Alligator mississippiensis: one gene and its partners. The protein of the gene in region 3 purifies or fractionates together with the protein of the main gene of each other region. This does not show direct contact. Links are inferred from orthologs where the notes say so. Each region holds a gene or a part of one and is shown on either strand. Other genes may lie near its edges.

Evidence for each region.
Region 1: the proteins of TACC3 (region 3) and CKAP5 purify together in Homo sapiens (co-immunoprecipitation; 5 studies listed by BioGRID and IntAct, with this or other methods). This does not show direct contact. The link is inferred for Alligator mississippiensis from reciprocal best matches to the Homo sapiens genes TACC3 and CKAP5.
Region 2: the proteins of TACC3 (region 3) and ENAH purify together in Homo sapiens (co-immunoprecipitation; 3 studies listed by BioGRID and IntAct, with this or other methods). This does not show direct contact. The link is inferred for Alligator mississippiensis from reciprocal best matches to the Homo sapiens genes TACC3 and ENAH.

The regions. Positions count from the first base shown.
Region 1 is NC_081825.1:227,537,957-227,545,967, forward strand, and holds the start of CKAP5 (cytoskeleton-associated protein 5), read right to left. Parts: upstream 5,212-8,011; 5' UTR 5,115-5,211; intron 1,307-5,114; exon of another isoform or gene 1,217-1,306; intron 1-1,216. UniProt on the Homo sapiens protein: Binds to the plus end of microtubules and regulates microtubule dynamics and microtubule organization. Acts as a processive microtubule polymerase. Promotes cytoplasmic microtubule nucleation and elongation. Plays a major role in organizing spindle poles.
Region 2 is NC_081824.1:180,332,260-180,340,270, forward strand, and holds the start of ENAH (protein enabled homolog), read left to right. Parts: upstream 1-2,658; 5' UTR 2,659-2,673; coding exon 2,674-2,681; intron 2,682-8,011. UniProt on the Homo sapiens protein: Ena/VASP proteins are actin-associated proteins involved in a range of processes dependent on cytoskeleton remodeling and cell polarity such as axon guidance and lamellipodial and filopodial dynamics in migrating cells.
Region 3 is NC_081825.1:17,675,092-17,683,102, reverse strand, and holds the start of TACC3 (transforming acidic coiled-coil-containing protein 3), read right to left. Parts: upstream 3,620-8,011; 5' UTR 3,517-3,619; intron 1-3,516. Other genes in the region: TMEM129 (E3 ubiquitin-protein ligase TM129), read left to right, coding at 7,605-7,809. UniProt on the Homo sapiens protein: Plays a role in the microtubule-dependent coupling of the nucleus and the centrosome. Involved in the processes that regulate centrosome-mediated interkinetic nuclear migration (INM) of neural progenitors.

The DNA of each region.
Region 1 (8,011 bases), about 210 Mb from region 3:
TGTGTTAAAAGGGTGCCTGTACTGAAGGAATTCCTACCCAGAAGGATGCTGGGTACCTCTGCCATAGATCCTCAATAGAAGAAAGGGGCTACTAAAACAAGCCAAAGCATCCTCAAAGGAAAATGGGGAAAAAAAAAAATGCACTCCCAACAAGATGGCTCTCTAAAATGTGACTGGAAAAACAACATCTTTTTTTTTCCCAACCTCCAAGCAAGCAAGCTGTACACCAACACTAAATTAATCAGGTTCAGACTCCAATATTCAGCAAGTCACTTGTTATACACCTGTCTTCATGGGAATTCACCAAAATCTTGAGCTCAATAAATTAGGCCAATGACAACACAGCCAGCTACTTTCTCTGGCAGATTTCAATACAGGCTCTTTGATGTGGTTTGGCAAGCACATTTACAAAATGGAAAAGAGGTTGTATGCAGCAAACTGACCATCCCACACAGCAAAGAGCAAAAGAGAACCTGAATCCAGAGGCTAAAACCCACAAAAGGCCAACATGGACAGAACCTGGCCCATGGTCTGAGGAGGACAACGAGGGCGGCAGCTACTGGTAGGATAGTGTTTATTCACCATACCCCTCCCACAAAGATGGGATGTTTGCAAAGCTAAGGTACAAGGCAAGCTAAAATTGTTCTACAGAAAGGACTGAATCCTCCTCAGCAGCAGTCTGGATGTCACACACATTTGAATGACCCCCCCCCCCCCAACCATCACAAGCTGCCTCCTACTAGATAACCTCCCCCTCCAACGGCATGCATGCAGCTCTCCTTTCCCACCCCCAACCCACTCCCGTCGGGCCTTCTGAAAAGGCAGCCCTCAGTGTCCTTGCTCCGTTCATCAGCCTGCGGCTCATGCTCTACCCACAACCCCTGCCTAAAGCTCAGGCCCTAGACGCCCCCCCGGCGATGCCCAGTAGGGCCCCACCTCCCCCGAAGGCCGCAGCTCGCGGACATTTTGCAGCGAGCAAGCAGAGCCGAGCCGAGCGGAGCAGAGGGGCGCCGCAGGCCCAAGGAGCTCGGCCCGGCCGGGGGCTGCAGCTCAGTTCGAGCCCCCCCCCGGCCAGCCGGCCGGCTGCAGCCGAGTAGGCCGCCCGCCCCGCATTGTTTATCCCCGCAGCCTCCCCTGCCCCGAGGGCCCCGACAGCGCAGCCGCCACCCCCGATCGGGGCCTGCGTGGCCCAGGGCGCAGCAAGCCGGGCACTCACCCACCGACAGCCGCGGCGCGGCGCGGCCCCGCTTAGCAGCAGCAGCAGGCGGGGAGCTGCATTTCTGAGCCCGGCTAGGAAGGAGGCGCCTCCTCCGGGGCGGGGCGCGGAGCGCTGCAGCCGGCGCCGCCTGCCCCCGCCTCCCGCCATACCTGGGAGTGAAGGGAGGAGAAGAGGAGCCGCTGCATGTGCCAGACAAAGGCGATCGGGCCCCCTTCCTCCCGGCATTTCACCGCCCCGCGCCCTTGCCCAAACTCCAGCCCCTCCCTGCCACCCCAACGAGCCGGCGTCGCCCCCGCGGAGCCTTGGCTACTGCCTTCCTCGAGAGCTGCACAGCCGCGCCTGGCTCCCTCTCGTGGGAGAGGGCGTGGGCCGCCCCAAGCCACCGGCCCGTCCCGCCTTGACAAGGCACAGACTCCTCCACGTTGCTGGCGGTGAAGCCACTCCCTGGACCAGCAACAACCAACACCATGCTGCATGGGGGGTGCTGTCTGGGAGGAGGAATTCATGCATCAGAGCCTCAAACTTCAATACTCCACAGGGTTTTAGCCGGAGCCCCCACCCAAAAACATATAGCTAAAAGCCACGAGCAAGTTTTTCAACATTTGTGTACAATGGTGACAGATGGGTCATTCCCCTCCCCCCACCCCAAGTTGCGTGGCATGCAGTATCCAAGGCCATTTAATGAGATTTAGAATTACAGCTTGGCACTGGGGAGGGATCAGGGGTGGCAGTGAAGGGCTGAAGTGATAAGATCTTAGGCTAGGGGTGTAAACCTGTAGCCTGAAAAACAGAGTAGGTTCCAAGAAACACTTGAAGGTGTAACCGGTCACTGTCAATGCCACTTCCTTTGTTGTTTGAGATCAAGGCACCCATTCTAGAATGAAGGCTGCACCCAAGCCTGGTACAATGGAAGTATCCATACTTTATGCCAGACTGTGCCCCTCCAGCCTTCTGCTCAGATAGCCTGAAGAAAGGGGTTTGGCTCTGGGCACCAGCACAAACTCTGCTCAGGGCCCAGATTTCTGAAGAGCACAACAGCTGCCTCTACTGAATGTTTGGAAGTTGCTGTAACTAAGCTACTTAAGTAATTGTTTCTATGCCACCTTGCTTCAAAGCATAGATGCCCAGCCTCAAGTGATCTGCAATAACTCAGCTCCAGTCTCCTTAGGTTGGACAGATGCCCAAAACAACAGCCTTGTCCACATGGTACAGCCAAGGTTTAATTTAGTTGTAAATCTACCAGGTTTTCCTGCAGCACGTTTTAGACTGCTTCTCCCCACCTCAAAGAGTCACAGGGGAGGCTCACACTTGGCTGTTCTATACTGTAAGGCACCTGCAACAGTTAAGTTGATGCCAGAACGAAAACAACAAGGCTATTATGGACTGAGATCATCCATTCAGTTCCTTCCCAACTTTGCACAACATCCATAAACCAAGTCATAGTACATCAGTGGTCTGAATGTATGGAACATTAGAGGTTTTTTAAGACAAGAATACAGGAAATTCAGAATAAAAAAAATAACCAAGTTATCCTGAACCTATAACAAAGTCAAAGGGAAGGGGGAAGAAGGGGTGAAGGAACCAGATGCATATTGTAACTTTCTGTACAAGAGTTTCTTTTTTGGCAGCATCATAACTTTGAGTGCCTTAATGTTACTCATATATATGGATATGCTGCTTGGGATCTCTCTAGTTGCTCACCATGGAAGCTTACAAGTTAGACTGTTAACAAACTGGAGAGAATTATAATTATTCTCCCTCAGATATTCAAATCCCAGTTTTTTCCCCCTCTGTTCTTTGTAAAGGGCCCAAATTCCAGATGTTGCTCAGCAAAATTGGGGTTCATGCTTTTATTTGACAGCTTTTAGGTCAAGGGTCATTAGACATGCAACTAGCATCTTTTCATATATGTAAAGTTTAGGTGGTTAGATCATAACAGAAGGAGAGCAAATGTTAGCATGGAAATGCCTTAAATCACAATCCAGAAGAGAAACATGCACGTAAAAAAAGAAAGAATTATGTTTTACAATGCATGTATTTGGTTCCAATACATCAAGAAATATAGGACACCTTACATCTCTAGAGGAATGTTTAAGATAATTTGGCCAGTTTCACCAGTTTTCCACCCTTCAGTAACAATCTAGGTCTTTTAATTGCATGCAGATCTTACTCACACATACACACACACCCTCTAGTTTTCTGAGCTTCCTGAAAATTATTCACTATGTTTTTTAACTCCAAGCTTAGTTGCCTCTGTTGAGAGCCATGTTAGAAGCACAGGTTACTATCCTGGCTAGTATTTAGCTCAGTATGCTTTGATGTAACAATTGCTTTTTTTCAGAACAAAAGTTGCAGGTCAAGGAAAATACATGGAAGTTTTCAAAACAGAAGTTTCCTTATCCTTGCAGCATAGGAGACCAGAACAAGGCCAAACTTGGGAAAGAGACGCACAGAATTAGGTCAACTTCTGACAAGCTCAGCTGATCTAGCATTGGATGCTGAGAAGTCAATACCTACACAGACAGTGCTTATTCACTTGACTGCCATCTTCTTGGTCTCATCACTTGTATTTCATGAGTATATGACAAACACACCTCTACCCATATTAAGTTTGGTAATCTTTTTTTAGGTTTAAGCATTGGCCAGAGGTTACCTGCCAGCATATCTTTCTAAATACGCATCTTTGAGGGCCCATGGGCTGCAGAGACAGACTCTGTGTAAACTCAAAGTTCATATGGTATCACCCTGCTGACAGCACAGCAAAACCCTCTCACTACAGACAGTCCAACAACAAAACAAACAGCTCTATTCCTTCTGCAAATGAGAATTGGAAGAGTTATGCAACATACAGGACCAACAATCTCAGATTGCAGCAAGGGAAGCTGAGGTTAGATATGAGGAGAAACTGTCTCACTAGGTGGGTAGTAGAGCACTGGAACCGGCTACCCAGAAAGGCTATGGAATCTCCATCCTTAGAGGTTTTTAAGACCCAAGGAGTCAGAACTGGCTGGGATGATTATCACTGGGGACGGTGCTGCTTTGCGCAAGGCTGAAAACCACTAGATAAGTGGCTTTCAGCCTTTTTCATTTTGCAGACTCCTAAAGAAGTTGGAGCGGAGGTGCAGCCCCCTCTGAATTGTAAGTGTGGGTATTTGCGTATTTTTCATGGATCACAATCATCTTTCACACACCCCTTAGACACAGTCTGCAGACCCCCAGAGATCCACGGACCACAGATTGAAAGCCACTGCACAAGGCTAGACTGCCTCCTCGGTCCCTTCCCACTCCCGTTTTCTCGGATTCTCTATGCAGCCCTGAAATTTAGTGCCCATGACGACAGCTGCCTCTTAGCCAAAGAAACAGAGAACCACCGCCAGGCAGCTGGAATCAAACTGCTCCAGCGGGCGCTTGCACAGGGGCTGAAGAAACCTTGTGGCTCCAAGGCAGACGAGGCGGGCCCCGGACAGCCAGCAGCCCGGCTGAACGCCTCGTGGATCCCTACTCCTCGCACGTAGGCTGCGGCCAAGGAGCAGCCGCAGGCAAGCGGCAGGATGCGGCTGCCCAGAAGCCCGACGGCCCCGCGTCCCACCGGAGACTAAGACACGCGCTACGCAGAAGCGGCCGTCACCGAGCCGCAAGGCCCTGGCCCGGTTAGAGCGGCCCGGCCAACCCCGGGGCACCCACGGGCAGCGACATCGAGGCTCTGCGCCGTCCGTGACCCTACCCCTGCCGCTACCCGCCGCCGGCGCCCGGCGAGGGGGGAGGGGCCGCGCGCGGCGGCCGGCACCTGGGAAACCCCAGGGGTCGCCCCGCCTCGCTCGGGCCCCGGCAGGCGGGAGGGGAGGGGAGGGGCTGGGCTGGGCTGGCCAGGGCAGGAGCGGGTAGCGGCGCTCACCTAGGCCCGGCTTGGTCGAGCGCGGGCAGCCGGGAGCCTTCTCAGCAACAGGGTTTGAAATCACTACCCCGCCCGCACCTCGCAGTGTCCTGAGCGTTCATTGGCCGCCGCCGGCCCCGCCCCCACCGCCTCATTGGGTGGTTTGAACGCGGCTTGTGCCACGCACGGAGCTGTGCTCTTAAAGGGGCAGCTGCAGGAGGCCTCAGGCTCGAGACAGTAGAGGATGTTAGGCCCGGCCTAGCTGAGCCTAGGGTGCGGGCCTGCAACTTGCCAGCCTCCAGGGAGAGTGGCATGGCCAGAACCAGCCCTTGCCTCAGAGGGGCACTGGGCTGCCTTAGGCCCCTGCCACATGTTACTCATGTCACACAATGGTGAATCATACAGTAAGTATAGGCCAGCCGTGCTTGCAAAGGGATGATCACTTCATGAGCATACACAACCAGCTCCAAAGTTAGTGCTTGAAAACATGCAGTAATTTTATACCTGGGTTCTATCCAGCTTTAGTTTGAGTGACAGGGGCCCTCTTAGATGAACTAGATGGGAGTATGTGCACACAAGGTTTAGTGGGTAGCGATACATCTAGATATAAGCATAGGCAGATCTAGGATTTTGAAAGGGAGGGTACAGACTGAAGGGCATCAGCACATAAAATACAACACATTTTTCTCTAGATAAAAATAGGAAGGTTCCTTTACAAGATAGGGGGCCAGAACTGGATTATTCAGTTTAGGATTGAAGTAAAACCAAATATAACTTCATTGGAATGAGTTAAAAAAACAATCTGCAGGGCTATGAATTGGCTGCTGTGGGAATGAAGCTCCTAACACACAGCAGAGTTGCAAAACAAAGGCTAGATTGATGGGAGGAACATCACAACCATTAAAAGGAAGAGGGTCATTGACAACTGGAATAAAGAGTTGAGAAGGAATCAGGTGTATTAGAATGAAACAGAAAGTCAAGTAGCTACCTCAGCACTGTCTGACTAGATTTGCTGCTACTGCCAGGCAGTTGATTTAAAGTGGTGGAGCAGGATTGGTGGGTGGATGCAAGTGCACTAGTGCACCTCTCCCTGATCCACCCCTGGATATATGATGCACAGAGAAAGTACAAGCTTTCTGAGCTTCTGCTCACTTCATCAGATGCTGGGAAAGGATATGCTGAAAGCAGAGTATCTGATGACCTGAGCTCCAGCCCAGGAAATATTGTGTTCACAGTCTGTCTTGGTCAGATCTACCCTGACTTCACCCTGGTTGAGACTCGCCCATGTAAACCACTCTTACAAGTCTTATGCAAGTACAGCTGCCAGCAGTTTGCTGACTTGCTCAATTTGGGTGGTGTGAAATTTGCCAGGTGCTCCCAGTGGCCTGCGGGCTTGGTAGACAGGGAGGAGGAGGACTCCTTCAAAGTATTAAAATGAATCAGTCACATGAGGAAGACTCACCTGCCAGAGATGGAACTTTTATACCAACTTCATCAAGACACTGGACCTAAAAAATGATTCCATAACTTTGGTGCAGGTGCAAATAAAAGCAAAAATCTGGTCTTTTGAATTCACTTTCTTACCAGAATGTGACTTGGTTTTGCTGATTGTGCCAGGATTAAGACTTCTGTATTTACTTTCCAGGGCTGAGATATCAGGGACAAGTTTTCTATAAATTTTACATGGCAGAATCAACAGATTTAGATGTTTACTCTGCACTTGTGGTATCCAAGCATTTAAAGCATTGGTTTTCTACCTTTTTATAGACTCCTAGCTTTTGTGAATTGAGCAACACTCTATTGCAAAAACTAATTTATTACAGTGCTAACCTCACTGCAGAGAGGCTGGTCATTGGGAGGTGGGCAGCAACCAGGTAGAGAATAGACTGAGCCCACACTGATCTCCTTACATCCCCCACCCCAGGGTACCCTAACAGCTTGTTTGAGAATCCCTGATTGAAAGCATAGTACGAATCTTGTCTAGAATTAGAAGTCTAGAAAACTACTCATTTAAAAAAACTGTATTAAACACAAAAATCTAGAATGTATTTAGAGTAGGATTTTAACCATTATGTGTATCCTGCTTAATCTTAATTTCTCCAGTAAATGTACATGGCCAAATTTCACTCTGGCAGCGATGCTTTCACTAAAGCTAAACAGTGGTGAATTTAGGTTCTGCTACAGGCATCAACAGGTGTATTGTAGTAGTGTATCATTTAGTAATTAGGACTGCTAAATACTATAAAACGGCATGCTACGCAGGAGGACAAGCTAGCATTATGTGAGCTTTTCATATTATGGTTTCTTATTGTTCAAAGACAATATAATATTTGGTTAGTTTACAGTTAAATTCCATTTGTTTGGTACTAGCAGCACAGAAATGTACACACAAGAAAAGAGAACTCAGCTCTTCCTGCTGATGTAGTTGAATATGCATTAGGTGTGATATGTACTTATGCAGCTCTAGAATCTCCCCAGTAAAACAACAGAACATATGTACACACCTAAAAAGCCTTACTGGTGTAGGCTGGAACTAATTTGGTGTAGAAAATCTGTCATGCAGGCACAACACAGGTGTCCTTTTCACCCTGCTCACTTTCAACAGCTGAAGGGATTAAGGGAAAAGTAATCTCAGGGCAGAGTCTAAAGTGAAGGACTTCAGTCACAAACATAGATGCTCTTGGAAAATTACAATTATGGGAAAATGGGGTTAGATTTTAAGACAGGTTGTTAACTATCATCATGAAAAGAAACGGCAGTATGTTTCAATTATTCAGCACTGCCTTTCTCCCCCCAGTATATTCAAAAGTCAATGTTTATAGTGAGGAACCAGCTGTCAGAACATCTTGCTTCTATTCTCTGCATGGCTTACTTCATAAACAGAGAGAAATTACTTCCTGCAGGGATAGTGGTAACAT
Region 2 (8,011 bases), on a different chromosome or scaffold from region 3:
GTTGTTGCTTTAGCTCTAGCCCTGGCCCTAACCTAGGGTTGGAGCCCAAGCTAAGGCTGCTGTTTGTCCCTGTCCCCATCCCCCTGCTACCTCTTTCCCTGTCTCCTTGTACCCCACAGTCTCTGCTCCCCTGTCTGTTTCTTCCCTTTCCCTGCTTTTCCCTCCTCTTTTCCCCCTAAAACTCCCCCTATTGCTTAGCTTGGCTCCAGCTTCAGCAGGCTCTAGCCTCTCCACAGCCTGGGCCACAGCGCATGTTTGCTCCAGCCCCAACCCCAGCCCAAACATAGGATAGTGGGGGAGGTAAGTGGTGTGGACAGACAGGTGGCAAGGGCAAGGTGTTGTGGAGCAAGGAGCAGGGAGCAAGCTGCTTGACTTCCCCTGCTGCCTACCCTTCCCACTCCCCCCCCCCTTTTTTTGTCAATGAGAACTTGAATTTTCTTATCATTCTCATCAAACCAGTCCTGATATTTCTTTGTGGAGAAGCCTAGAGATTCTTCTCATGACTCAAGCATGCCTTTCCTGAGGCTTTCCCAGTGATCAGTGGTGTCAATATCATCAGTGAGGTTGGAGAGTACTGCTGGAAATAATTGCTTTTATCAGGGTCTTTCAAGCACTTAATAATATTGAACCTCTTCTTTGGTTGTTTCTTTTGCTTACACCATTTTGGGGTGATGAATGGGCATGATGGAACATATTGTCAGGGTGTCTTCTTCATTAACCATGCCGGGCTGGGCCAAGCACTTGAGCCAGCACACCTGCCCTGATCCTTGGTTAATAAGATTGCCCTAGTTTTCTGTGGAGGTGAGCAACTGGATGGACTGCTGAAAGCACCACTTACCCCTTTTAAGCATATCTCTGCAGTGTTTTGAGTAGGGGGTGCATCCATGATGTCTTTCATTTCTTCTGTAACTGAATAGGGAGTTTGTAATGATAAGACTACATTCCAAACACTTGCTCAGAAGGAAAATTCCATTTGAATTGACTTTTCCCACCCCTTCCTTTCCAAGTGTTCCTTTCCATAGTTCAGATTCTCTGCCCAGTGTAGCATTGAAATTCCCAAGAATGGTCTTATCTTTTTTGGGGGCAGATGACAAGACTTGGCTGGGTTTAGAATAGGATTCTTCCTTAGTTTCATCATGTGCAGCCAGGGCGTAAGCACTGATGACTGTTGCATGTTGTCTGTTGGTCAGTGTAAAACAAAAGGTCACGAGACACTTGTGTATGCCAAGCGGACATTTCGCATCTGAGTAACAATTTTGGTCCAGATAGCAAAATCAACACATGGCTTTATCTGCAGCAACACTGAGATCTTTATATGGCCTTTGTTGACCTAAGGCCTTTGATTCAATCAACAGAAAGGCCCTTTGGAAGATACTGATGAGATTTGAATGCCCATCAGAAGTTGTTGCCATCATTAGATTTCTTTGTGATGATGACATGATGAGAAAGTGTAAGCTGTGGCTCAGAAATTAATTCCTTTGCTGTTAGAACTCCTGGAGTCAAGCAGGGATGCATGATTGCACTAACATTTTCTTCTATCTATATTGCAGCTATTTCATATCTCATTGCTGCTGGGCTTCCATCTGGAGTCAGCATCCAGTACTGTGTGGCTGGGGAATCTCTTTAACATCAACCAGATAGGTTCCAAATCCATGATAACCAACATTGTCATTACTGATCTTCAGTATGCTGTTGTCATATGTATCCACTTGATCAAAGAGATCCAGGTCACTCACTGCTTCTGTGAAGCATGTGAAATGCTTAGACTTATTGTCAACTGCACAAAAAAACAAAATACTTTTTTCAACCTGCCCCAAAACAGCCAGCTGCTCCCTCCTCCCCCACACATTACAATTAGAGGGTAATACTTGGAGAATTTTGAGTATTTCCCTTACCAGAAATGGAAACGTGGATGATGATGATTTCTAGATTCAGCACTGAAAAAATCTGCCATTGCTGCCTTTTGAACATCTACAAAATTGTGTCCCTGATCATGACATCAGGACCCAAACCAAAATTCTTGTCTGTCAGGCTGTTGTTATCTCTAGCCTGCTGTGTGGGTGTAAAACTCGGACAGCTTAACAGAAGCCCCAGAGAGCTTTGGAGTGTTACCACCAATGATGTCTTCAGAAAATCCTCTACCTCAATTGAAAGGACAAAATAATGAATATTGGAGTTCTGGCTCAAGCAAAGATCACCAGTGTTGAAGCCATGTTTATATATAGCACCAGCTCCATTAGGCAGGACAGGTCATAAGGATGCCTGACAAATGGCTCCTGAAACAGGTCCTGTACTCGCAACTTGCCAGTGATCACATTTCTAGAGGTAGGCAAAAGAAGAGCTTCAAGGACAGCTTAAAGACCAATCTGAAGAACTGTGATATTGACATCAATACTTGGGGGACCTGAGCTCTGAATCATCCCTGGCTGAGTATGACAAGGCATTGACCATTTTGATCAAATTTGTCTCATTATGGAGGTGAATAGGTGAGAGGGACAAAGGAAAAGAGCTGAGACCCAGCATCACCAGGATCCACTTCCTTCTATAACTGTATACCATGCCTGCAATCAACATGCAGATCTTGCATTGGTCTCCTCATTCATCTCCAGATTTATTAATGACTTCCCTATTTATGGAAGACTGTCACCCTGATATTGAGGGACTGCTGACTACATGGAAAAGTATAGCATTTTAATAGATTTTTTTATATATAGAATCTAATTACTGGGTAGTTGTTTTAAATTCAGTTTTGTCTTGGATTCAGGTAAATACAGTAGTTGCTACTGAGGCTAGCTTTTGCTAGATAGAATGCAGATTATTTTATTTGTTTTAAGGGGATTCCTAATATTTTTTTTCCTTTGGGTTGTTTGTTGTGATTTGTTAGACCTTCATATAAAATCAAATTGCCTTATTTAATAAAATGTGCTCATTTTGTAATCCGTGTAATCATTAGTTTGAAGATTGTTCCAAACTTCTTTCAAATGCTGCTTGGAAAGTGATTTTTAAAATATATCTGGCTGTTAAATTACTTTGGTATTTAGTCAGTAAACATTCTGACCACAAGTGTCAAAGAACAGGCCATATTTTCTAGGTGAAGTTGAGAAAATGATCTGCTGATATCATTTGCTAATCATATGTTTTGCATTAAACGTCACAATAAGGCATAAATTAATTTGTGAAGGGTACAAAGATGTTTTTGCATGACTGTTCTTCTAATATCCAGTACAGTGACTCTCAGCCTTTTTTGGTCTTAAAGCACCCCCCTGGAAAGTGCCAGCTCTTAGCCTTCCCTCAGTTTTTGATTATGAAAAAATAATATAGCAATGCTGTTCCAAAAAAAATTAAAAAGACCACAACAAATGTTTTTGACACTGGATTCCTATTGAAAATCTCTTGGTTTGTCTTGCGAACCATGCATACTAAACAGCCCAAATGTTGCATGGTACCCTGGAGGATGCTGCAGCACCCTGGTGGAGCATCAGTGGTGTAGTCTCTTATATAAATTGAGACTATTGAGAAATAATAAATGAATATAAAATCAAAAAGTCTCTTTTAAAAATTATTTAGAATTCTGAGTTGTTTGTACTGCTAGTGTTGTAATTGCTCCTCTTCTATGCAGACATTCTCTGAGAAAAAGCATAGGAAGCATTAAAGAATGATATGTTTGGATTCATAAATCTCTGCTTTGATTTACTTAAAGTGATCTTAGTGCAAGACTACTAGTCTGACAGCCAATAGAATGCTTCAGGCAATGAAATTTTCTGCTCAGACTGTCTCTGAGCCTTTTTTTACCAAACATAGATACCTTGAGGGATTTGGGATAATACAGTTGCTGAGATTCCTCTTGGATGAGATGTTTAGTTTTATGTGAAGGTGATGCAGAGGGTGGGCTTAATGAGTCAAAAATGTGTAAAATGTAATTCTTAGTCCCTAGAAGTGTTATTTATTTTAAGATACATTAGTAATCTTATGTATTGTTACAGATAATTTTTATTATTAACAAGGCTTGTTAAGAGTCTTATGAATCTAGTTCAATTAAAAAAAAATAGTTGCATAGAGTAAGAAGTGTATTGGTTATATTTCTATGTGTTCCTTCAGTTATTTCTTTTTCCTTCCTTTGTATGAGGCAACTAGAAACATAGGAAGATGCATGTTTTGTTGACTTGTCTGATGGAAACATGAATTTTTCACCGTATAAAGTTAGATGAAAATTTCTTCATGTTGGTATTAGTAATCTCTTATTCCCTTCATGCTATTTTCCCCTGATATTGAAGGAAAAAAACATATGGATGATCTGAGGGGTAATTTCTGAGTTTAACTAAACAACTTGCAGCTGTAAACCTTTTATTTTGGATATATTTATCTGTTCTTGAGTCATCAAGCCAGATATTTTGAAACCATTAATTTATTTATTTTTGAGATCAAAGTTGGATAAAATCAGAAGTCTAACTATTTTTTAGAGGGTCTTGATGATACCCAATTTCCAGTTGCCTAAATTAACTTTTGGCATATAATTTTGTAAAACAGGGTATAAATTATATTTAAAAAAATAAATGAAACCCCCCCCCCAATAAAAAATCTTGTTCCACGTTAATTGATAACACTTGGTGAGTCAGCTTGTTACTTGCTAGTTTCTGCCAATTTCCCCCTGCTTTTCTTATTTTCTATTAGAGCAGTGTTGTTCAACTATTTTAAGGTTTGCTTCATTTTCTTTTTCTTTTCCTTTTTTTAACCAAGGACGTGAGCTTCTCCGTATAGAAAAACATTATAATTCTATACTTTGGAGTATCCTAATATTAAGTATTTTATATGGTTTTCCTTTCCGACATTACTTATTCTAGTATTTTAGGCTTATTTATACAAAGTAAAAGTTCAGTATACTATTGTATTATTTAAAAAATTCTAAACGTAATTAAACTTTTAAAAATCATTACCAAAAATAAGACCAACCATAATCTTGTACAAGATAATTAAAGAATTTCTCTCAAATGACAGATGGAGATTGCCTAGCTGGCAACATGGTATCTTATTTCAGTTGTCTGTGATTCCCAGTGCCCTACTAGCACCTCCTAAAGGGAGGGTTGTGTGCTTTTGGAAATGCAGTGCAGGTTGGGACCATGCTGTGCCCCAGAGCAATGGGGTTTTCATTACTTTGAGGTGATGTAGCTAGAGCAAGGAAAAGAGGGTCCAAGCAGTAACTGTGACGTGATCAGCTCCTGAGCTGCGTGAAAGCTCAGAGTTCCCTGGTATGTCAGCATGCATGAACACTGCTGCTGCTTATAGCCCTTTTTCCCCATCACTGAATTTAGTAGCAGGGGAAAGGAGGAACTAGTAGCAGGAGTGTTCACCCATGCTGACATGTTGGTTGACAATCAGATGTTCCCACTGGCTTTGCATCTGGCTCTGTGTCTGGCTGGTGGACTGAAGGTTGAGAAGCACCATATTAGTATATTAAGATAGATAAAGTACAACCTGGATCTTTGCAAGTTTAGGTTCCTTACTGTCCTGTAAAGATGAGGGTTTGAGAACTAGCCACAGCAAACAGCACTGAGAGACTCCTGAGGTGCTCCAGCCATTTATTGCAGCTTTCATTTTAAAGTACACCCTTTCTCCAGCCAGCTGTGTGGAGAAAGAATGTAATTTGAAGTAAAAGCTGGAGTGAACAGTTCAGTGCATTGATTTTCAACCAGGGTGAAATGTGATGTTACCACTTTTATGTGTGCAAACTTGGGTTCTTAAGAGAAACCCAGAGATTTCAAATAGGAATCCAGAGTGTCAAAAACATTCTGACCTGTTGTAGTCTTTTGGAGTTATTTACAACAACAAAAATTGCTCTATAATGTTTGTGCACTCAATAAATGAACAAAACCTAAGGGGTGGAATTTTGAGGGGTGCCTCAAGTTTAACAAGGTTGAGAACCACTAGTGTAGTTGGCTTTATCTTGACTTGGTAACTTGGTGCAAATGTAAGCAGGTTGGGAACCATCATTATATAAAGGTCTAGATTCTACCACACCTTATTTGCCACCTTATGGTTTCGTTAACTTTGACATCCTTAATTTCCATTTTGCTTCTTGTTGGTCCATTCGTATCAGTGCAGTGAAGTTCTTTTTCACAAGTTACTACTTCCTGTTCTTCATCACCTATTTTATAATTGGAGTGATAGTAAAACTGTAGTTAAAAGCATTAGATAATTTTTGAAGCTTAAGGTTTTTCATGATTTACTTCACTCTTCCTTTACCTATTTCTCTGTTACAATTTGTTATTACTTTTGCTCATCGTTTTGCCGTACTGGTTTAAGCCAGCTTCGCCACTCTTTATATGGCTTCTATGCTTAAAACATTCTCTTTCAGTATCGCAGGGGTCATTTTTTCTTTTCAAATTAGTTTAAGCTAAACTCTCAAACACTAAAGTACATTTTCAAAACATTAAGAAAAGTTGACATTTCTCTTAGTTTCTTAGGTTGTCTGTTGAGACTGTTAGCTGCTTGGCATCAAAGATCTATGTACAGCTTCACACAGAGCACACTGCTGGCTATAGGGTTAGTGCAGCAAATTTTGATGCAGATTGGTACATAGCGAACATTTCAGTGAGGAGGTTACCTTAAACATTTTAATTGACAGGTCCATTGTTTTTGCACAGTGAAGTGTACACACCTGTACTTGATTTAAAAAAAATCACAAATCTAGTTTGACAGGATTTCATATGGAATTGTTATTGATCTTTGCTGTCACACTGTTTCTTTGAATGAGACAAGCAAGGTTCTTTGGGTAGATGTAGCTTTTATTAGGCCAACTAAATAGTGAACTTTTTCTGTAACTGTATTGTAGTCAAGTCTAACACCTGTTGGCTATCAGCCTGTTGCCATGTAAATGATTGTCACCAAAACTGCAAAAACATGAGGGCAGAACAGATGGGCTGCAGTGGGACAAGCCCTTTTTTAAGCCTCATAGCATGGGACTGAGCATGAAATGCACTATGAATGGATTTATGTAAGACAGGGGTGTTGTATTCACCCAGCTCCCTGAGCTGGATCTAAATTGGCAATGGTCACCACAGGGATAGACTCCACCCATCGCTTAACCCCTGCTGCCAGCATGTACCCCCAGTGGGATCTCATAACCCAGATTTCAATAGTAGGCATAGTTTCTCTAGGAGTGCTGTGGCTGAGTGACACAGTTCCACAGTCCTGATCCCATCCTACGGGCTGTGCATTAGGTATTGCCTCCAGGTTAAGTCTTCAAATACACGAAGGGAAATTTGTAGAGAGAACAGATGTAGGCTTTTCTCTGTGGCTGTGCGAGACAGGACTAGGTTAAGAGCCTCAAGCTGCAACAAAGGAAGTTTAGGTAAATGATAAGGAGGAACGTTCTGACTGTAGGGGTGGTCAAGCATTGGAACAGGCTACCTAGAGAAGTTGTGGAATCTCTGCCTCTAGAAACTAAAATGTCTCTTATTACAATTCAGGATATTGATTTATATCCTTGTTCATATGGCATTGCTTGTCTACCCTCCCAATAGTTACCCCAATCTTAATTCGCATGGGGGTAGTTTTAAATTACTAACTAAAATATGGTTCTGTTTTATGAAATTAACCTGAATTTGTGCTATTATAAATATGCAATGAATTAAGCACTGTGTTCTGGTTTTTTTTCTTTTAAATCCCACTGATACTTAGAGCATTATTTGAACTCTATAAAACTGTTGTAGGCAGTATAATACTTGGACAGGTGCAAGCATGAATAGTCCTATTAACTATTATTTTGCTTAGTGGTATAAAATCTACCACTGTTAAAACAAAATTGCACTTGTTGGTGGAAAGTTGCATCAATGTAATGAACGTAATGGAAGTTGGACCCATCCTGCCACTGCTTCTTTTCTCCCTCCCTTCTGACTGCAGCAGCAGTATAGGCAAAAAAACTCACCTACCACCACAGTGCCACTGAAGCCCCTGGCCTGCATCACACCAGAGGCAGGTTGTTTTGGCCTGTTTCCCAAAGCTTGCTCACTGC
Region 3 (8,011 bases):
CTTTGAATCTCCTTCCTTGTGGTCCCTGGCTAGTCTCCCCTGAGTCAGCTGCGCTGCCCCTTTTATCCCCCTTCAGGTGACCCAAGGGACCAATCAGGGGACACGGAGGGTGAGTCTCTGGGGCCTGACTGGTGAGGAAAGCGAATCCTCCAATCATCTTTTACCCCTTCAAAACTCCTGGGCCAAATCATTACCAGATTGGTGAGGAAAGGGAATCCCAAGTCCTCCAATCATCTTTTGCCCTTTCAAAACCCCTGGGCTAGGTCACTGCCAACTAGCCCGTCACATATAGAAAGCATAGAAAGTTAGGGTTGGAAGGGACCTCAAGTGATCATCTAGTTCAACCTCTGCTCAAAACAGGACCATCCCAACTAGATCAGGCCAACCAAGGCTTTGTCTAGCTGGGTCTTAAAAACCTCCAAGGATAGAGATTCCCTCACCTCTCTGGGTAAGCTGTTCCAGTGTTTTACTACCCTCCTAGTGATAAAATTCTTCCTAATATCTAACCTAAACCTCCCTTTCTCCAACTTCTGTCATCTGCCACCACTGAGAACAGTCCAGCTCCACCCTCTTTTAAAACTGCCCTCCAGGTAGTTGAAGGCTGCAATCAAATCCCTGTATGTGTCTTCTCTTCTCTAAACTAAATAAGCCCAGTTCCCTCAGCCTGTCCTCATAAATCATGTGCCCTAGCCTGCTAACCATTTTTGTAGCCCTTCGCTAGACTCTTTTGTTGTATTTTGAATCATTAAAATAACAGTTTAACTGCTACTGGCCTTTCAATTTGCCAGAGGAAGTCTAGCTGAATTACAGACATGGTCAGTGGAATTCCAGCAGCGCTGAAGATAGCAAATTACTTTAATTCAACATTTGAGTAAGATCTTACCTGCATACATTAGATAATGGCTGTAAGTGCTATTCTATGGTCTATTTATACAATTATGCTCCTGTTATACTTGTGATATTACTGCATAATTGGGTGTAGAATGGGATAGAGCTAAGGCTGTGAAAGCCATCACTGAGCTTTCTGTACAATGTATACAAAACTTCACCATTTGTGTTGGGTTTGAGCACGGGATAGTTAAGTACAAGTACCAGTCTGGGATTGCTTTCTAGTGATGCTCTTGAACAGGCAGTCAGCTCAAGTTTTTCAGATCAAGTGCATGCACCCAATCTGAAGCTAGAAGAGGCCCAGTTGAAATACTAGACCCCGCTTCAGGTTTGACAGTTTAGGCCAATGTTGCAGCACCCTGGGTTGCCTTGAGATCTTTTCAAGGGTGCCACACAATGTAATCACTGCTCGGCGTGCAAGCCCGAGTCAAGATAAATTCACCCAAAGAACCTTGTCTAAAATTTCAAATAGGAACCCATAGTATTAAAAGCACTCTCTTCTGTTGTGGTCTTTCCAACTTCTTTACAACCAAAGAATGACTCTATTATTTCTCTGTAGTCAAAAAACAAGTAACAACCAAGAGCTGGCCTTTTCCAATGGGTGCCCTGAGACGAAGGAGACTGTCTAGGAAACAACAGACAAAGCCACACACAAATCCTGAATGCTTAAGGTTTGCAATGAGTTTGCAGCAGACACGAATGGGATTATTGTACTCCAGTACTACTAATCCAGTTATCTGGGCAACAAACAGCATACAAGTATTGCTGACATTTTAGTCTTAGTCTGCCTTTGTGACCAATGTTTAGACCTTTAGTCATGTGCAGTCTAAACCCTAACTAATGCTTAAAACCTAATGAGAGCGACATAGGGCTCATGCACAACACCACAGAAAGTCTCAAAGTAGCATTGGAGTGGTCCTGTAGCTGGGATGGTCCTGGAAACACGAGTGAAACACAGAGTTTTTGACAATATTTCTTGATGTCCAATACAACTCAGATCACATTTTGCATAGAAAAACTTAGTATTTGGAAAGAAAACTAACTACAGCCAACATGGTTTCAAATGCAGCGCTGATACCCTTGGCAAACGGGCAGTCTGTAAATCCCCAATGAATGCAAGGCCTGCTGCAAGGATTCAGTTATTAGTGACACACGGGATTGTATTACAACAGGGATATCAAATTCTTCTGGCCCCAAGGGCTGGATCAGCGCCATTTCCCCATCCCCACGCTCCTTGCCAGATCCAGGGCACATGACCCCTGCTCCTGCTGGTCTGGGACCTGGCAGGAAGGGGATCAACATCCTCGGTGCTTGGCTGCCACTGGGTGAGGAGGAACGAGCCACAGGGCTGTGCTGGGGGTCTCACTCACCGTGGCTGTCACTGTAGGGATATGTCCCATTGAAGTGAGAATTGGGGAAAATTGCTATCTGGCCCATGGGACATGTCTGATACCCCTCTACTTTGTTGTGATTTGCACAACAAAGAGCACATCCCAAAGACACTCTCATGGACCCAGAGGGACAGATTTCTAGCTTCAGCCTCCCCTGTGCAAAAATGAAGTTGATTTCCTACCGATGGGGACTTTTTACCATCTTTAACTTTCCCTGAGCCTGATGAAGGGCATGTGAGCCCAAAAGCTTGCTGAAAAAAAGATTTTTTTTTTGCAATTTCTCGGTTGGTTTAATAAAAGGCATCATCTCAGAAGCAACAGTTCTGGATTTTTTGCATTTCTTTTTGTCTCAAGCCAACATGGTGACCAAATACACTACAGCATTTGAGAAGGACATCTCAGGCGCCTGGGACAGAAGTTTCATAAACTGGTTTGACCCAAACCAGCTAAGTCTGATACTACATTCAACCCGGTTTATCTTAAACCAGTTCCAGACGTTTTGAAACGGGTTGATGTGCATTGAACTTCTGTTCCGTTAGAGGTTTAAACCCGTTTTTGATGACTTAAACTGGTTCACGTGTAACTTCTGTCCTTAGCCCAAGGGTGGAAATCAGGTAGGACGAGCAGCAGTCAGCACCTATGGGATCACATCCAGCACGCTTAACCGTTTTGAAAAGTTTATGCAATTTAGAGAGAACCCTTAGATTATTTTGCTAATTAAAATATTAGTCATAGAAGTCAGACAGAAGTCGGGCTGGACGGGACCTCCAGGGGTTATCTCGACCGGCCCTTGCCCGAGGCAGGCCCCACTACAGAGGAAGGCAACGTCCCCCTGCATCTCACGGGGGAGACATCCCTTCCTCACCACAAACAGCCCTGGCACACTGCCCTCCTCCACCCCTTTATTCACTTTTGTGACAGACTTGTGCATAGTTCATATAGAGTTGATAGTGTGCAAAAGGCAGAAGTGTGTGTGTCCTTGCGAGGGAGAGTGAAAGAGTACATGTGCAAGGGGGGGTTCGCGTATCTTTGTGTGTGCATATGCAAGGGCGAGTGTGCATGTGTCTTTGTGTGCCCGTGTGCAAGAGGAAGAGTGTGCAAGACAGGGGAATGTGCGTGTCCTTGCGTGCGCGTGTACAATAAGGGGGGGCGTGCGTGTGGCTTTGTGTGCGAGTGTGCAAGAGCACGTGTGCAAGGGGGAACTTGCCCGTGCATGCGAGCCCTGACCCGGCCCTACCTGCCTGCCGAGCGGCCCTGCCCGGCCGGGTGCCCGAGCCCACAGTCCACCTCTACCTCCACCTCAGCCCCGCGCGCCGCCGCCGGATTTCAAATTTCAACGGCGCCGCTCTCGCCAATGAAAGGGCAGGAGCTGCGAAAGGCCGTGGTGATGCCTGTCTGAATGGACCAATCAGAGAAAGGTAGAAGGGCGGGACAGCCGAGCACTCAACCAATAAAGATGTTCCGGATGCTGGAAGCAACCAGGGGGTGGGGTGCTGCGTGAAGCACGCTGGGAAATGTAGTTCGCGGGGCTAAGGCCACTGCCCTGCTCTTCTTCCAGGAGTGAGAGTTAACCCTGGAGGAGCAGAACGAGGTCCTGAACCACGTGATCTCGGGGAAAGCAATGAGAGGCTAACATTACTAGAGAATTAAAGACGAAAAAAACCTGCTTGATTTAATATAAATAATTTTTTTCTGCTTTCTTCCAAAGACAAATGTGTCATATTGAATGAACTAGTTTGAATGTTTGTAATGGTTGCCCATTAGCCAGTTTCAGAAAGAAGATAAGATTTATCTCCTTATCTAGGTCATTGTTTTGGACTACGTGTAGAAGATCCAGACTTTGCTTAAAGTTTTAACTCTTGAATTTTATCTTTAGAAGTCTTTAACAAAGAGAACCTGAAAATGATCCTTAAAGCAAATATCCTGAGTGCGGAGAGATCTAACCCTAGGGCCTTTTCGAAAAGATTGGAAAGAAAAGGTCACTTGCAGTGATATGGAAGTTCCCCAAAGTCATTAGAATTTTCAAGAAAGAAACTGATTACCAAGCAAAAGAATCTGTTGAGTAAGATCTGAGCCCAAATTTGGGGGTAATGACAGGTTTGAGTAGGAGTGGCCCAGGACGGTAACTCACTCAATAAAAACCGTAACTTACTCTCCCAAATTGGAGGTGACTATACTTGCAGAACAATGAAGGAAGAATCGCAAGCGTAGACCGGATCAGACTGATCACCTGAACCACCCTCTCCGTGAACACGAATCTCTTAGTTCACGCTGAAGCTGCAGAGCGCCCGAAAGGGACTGAAAGAAGGGGACTTAGTCCTATCAGTATTGAGGCCAGCCCATTGAATTGTATTGCTGAGGCGAGCCCATTGAACCGTACTGCTGTGGCCAGCCCATTGAATCGTACTGCTGAGGCCAGCCCATTAAATTGTACTACTGAGGAATGAAACCATATTTAGGTGTTTGGCTTCTCGGAATTCTAGGATTGTAAGTATATTATGCAAATAATAGTATTGATTCAAGTGTAACTTTTAGTTGTAATTGTAGTTGTTTTTGTAATACTAATTCTTAAAGCATTGTTTGAGAAGGAAGCGCATTCGGAGCATTGTTTCTGATATATGTAATTATTGTGTTCTTAATTTTTGTGGTATTTCTTAAAGCTAAGCAGTGTTATATGCGTAGCAAAGAATTTTAAAATAAAATTGTGTTGTATGAATTAAGTGTGTAATCATTGTGAAATCGTGCAATCAATACTTCCCCAGCCAGTGCATCAAAACGAATCAGTAAATTGTGTGGGATTTTCTCTATTCCATAACCCACTAGAGACAAAATGCTGCAATGTTTCCTGTAGGGTGCTGGACGTGCCCCATAGCTTTCTGTCTCAAGCAATACAAAATATTGTTTTAATGTAACGTCATTTTCCAAATCATGATCTTGCCTCTTACAAATATTACTTATAGACTCATCACTCCAATGCTATCACTGCACTGTCATTATTCTTCCCTAATAACCTCTGCAAGCAAATCACAAGTTAAAAACCTGCTGCTCTTAGTCTGTTTTAATTGCAGATTTACTGTGAAACTTGCTGCGCTCCAGCTCTTGAGTCAGGAAGGCGGCTGCATTAGCCAGAGACCGTGCTACAACTATAGAAACAATTAAATCTCTTAGGCTGAAGTGCCCTACAATGAAATGCTGCAACCTCCTTTGCAAGATCCACACTATTTTGGTTTAAATATGACTTTATTGGCAAAAACAGGCACATGAAGCGTTAGTAAAGTGTACAAAGAACCAAGAAATCTGTCCTCCATTTGCAATGTTTCAGCCATCTGCCAAGATGCAGATCCCTAGAGTGTTTGTGGTTTTACTCTCTGTCCATTTGTTGTTAATTTTTAATTCATGACAAGTTAGGGCCCCATGAGATGCTCTCTGTCCTCTAGGGTGATGCAGTTTTCCTCTTTAATAGGAAGCCTCAGATTATGGCTGTTTATCCTGAAGTGCAGGCTGTGTGCCCAGCGCTGTTGAAGACAAAAAAACCCTAATTTCTGCTGTTATTTTTATGACCAGTAGCCACACTCAAGGAACAAGGGCTAGAAGGGACGTCCAGAGGTCATCTAGTGCATCCCCTTTCCTGAGACAGGATCAGCCCTATCCAAACATCCCACGCAATCCATAATCTAAACCAGGCGTTGGCACCGTTTTTCGGCAGAGTGCTAAAAACACCCACAACCTCAACTTGTAAGATGTTGGTGTGACAGGAGCAGATGGCAGGGGAGCCATGAGGGGTCCAATCCTGCCCTGGTCCCTTCCCCACCATCTGCCCCGAGTGCATGTGCCAAGCAAAATGCCTTTGCAAAATGCCACACTCCAGTACCCATGCTGGGGGTTGCCTAACCCTGATCTAAACTCTACTCAGGATGCCCACCCACACAGACGTGACACCCGAATCTGCCACGCATAATGCAGGGAAACCACAGCACCAACATCCTGCTTCTATGAAATGTTGTCAATACAGGCTCAAGACACCGGGGTAGAGGGCCTCTGCACCCCAGTTGGTCCCCATCTGACCAGGGGTTAAGTTCTTTCCTGACCCCAAATGGTCCGGGCACATTTCCCTTTTCTTCTCCTACCCTGCATCTTCCTCTCCCCCCCTTTTTTTTTTCTATCCTCTCCCCACTTAATTTTTTGTGACAGATGTGTGCATAGTTCATACATAGTTGATACATGTGTGTGTGTATGTGTGTAGGTATGTTTGTGCATGCATTTGTGCAAGTCTGTGTGCATGTGTGTGTACATGCATTTATGTATGCATGTATGTGCATGCTTATGTCTGTGTGCATGTGTGTGCTAATGTGTGTGTGCACTATGCATGTGCATGTCCATGCTTATGTGTGTGTTGGTATGCTATGTGTGTGTACATGTGCATACTTTTGTGTGCCTGCACATGTATGTGTGCATGTGCTGGCTTGTATGTATGCATGTGTGTTGTGTGTGCATGTGCATGCATATGTCTGCATGTGTGCTCTGTGTGCATGCTAATGTGCGTCTGCATGTGTGCTGTGTGTGTGCATGTACATGTGCCTGCATGTGTGCTGTGTGTGCATGTGCATGCTAATGTGTATCTGCATTGTGTGGTTATGTGTGTACTATGTGTATGCATGTGCATGCTAACGTGTCTGTGTATGCTCTGTGTGTGCATGCTCATGTGTGTGGTTGTGTGTGTGCTGTGTGTGCATGCTAATATGTGTCTGCGTGTGTGTGGTTATGTGTGTACTGTGTGTGCATGTGCATGCTAATGTGTGTCTGCATGTGTGTGGTTATGTGTGTACTATGTGTGCGCATGTGCATGCTAATGCCTGTGTATGCTGTGTGTGTGTGTGTGTGCATGCTAATGCGTGTGTGCATGTGCGTGGTTATGTGTGTGCTGTGTGCGAGCGTGTGTGCGTGCTTATGTGTGCATCTGCATGAGTACTCTGCGTGCGTGTGTGCGTGCTAATATGTCTGTGTATGCTGTGTGTGTATGTGTATGCATGCTAATGTGCCTGCATGTGTGCGTGTGCATGCTAATATGTCTGTGTATGCTGCGTATGTGTGCGCATGCTAATGTGTCTGTATGTGTGCATGTGCATGCTAATGTGTGCTATGTGCGTGCACGTGTGCATGCTAACATCCACGCGTGCGTGCACCGGTGCAAACCCCGCCCCACGCAGAGCCCGGGGCTTTGGTGACGGGGCGCGCGCCGGGCGGGGCTGCTGGGGGCGGTGCCGGACTACGGCTCCCAGGCAGCGGCGCGGCGCGGCGCGGGGCGGGGGCGCGGGGCTCGGCGCCATGGAGAGCCCGGCGGTGACCTTCACGCTGGCCTACGTGGTGCTGTCTGTGTGCTTCGTGTTCCCGCCGCACGAGTTCCGCGCGGCCGGGCTGACGGTGCAGGGGCTGCTGGGCGCCTGGCTGGGCAGCGAGGACGCGGCCTTCGTGCAGCACCACCTGCGCCGCAGCACCGGCACCCTGCTCGCCCACGCCCTGCTGCCGCTCGGTGCGCCCCGCGCGGGGACGGGACGGGAGGGCCCGGGGGCTGCTGAGGGGGGCAGCACGTGGGCGCTGGTTTCCCAGTGCTGCAAACTAATGCCACGGCATTATGACAGTCGTGGAAGTAAATATCCACCCTCCTCAGTTGTGGGGCCGGGTCAGTAACACTCGTGACTGGGGTAGTGCATTAGGAGAGCGCAACCCGTGAT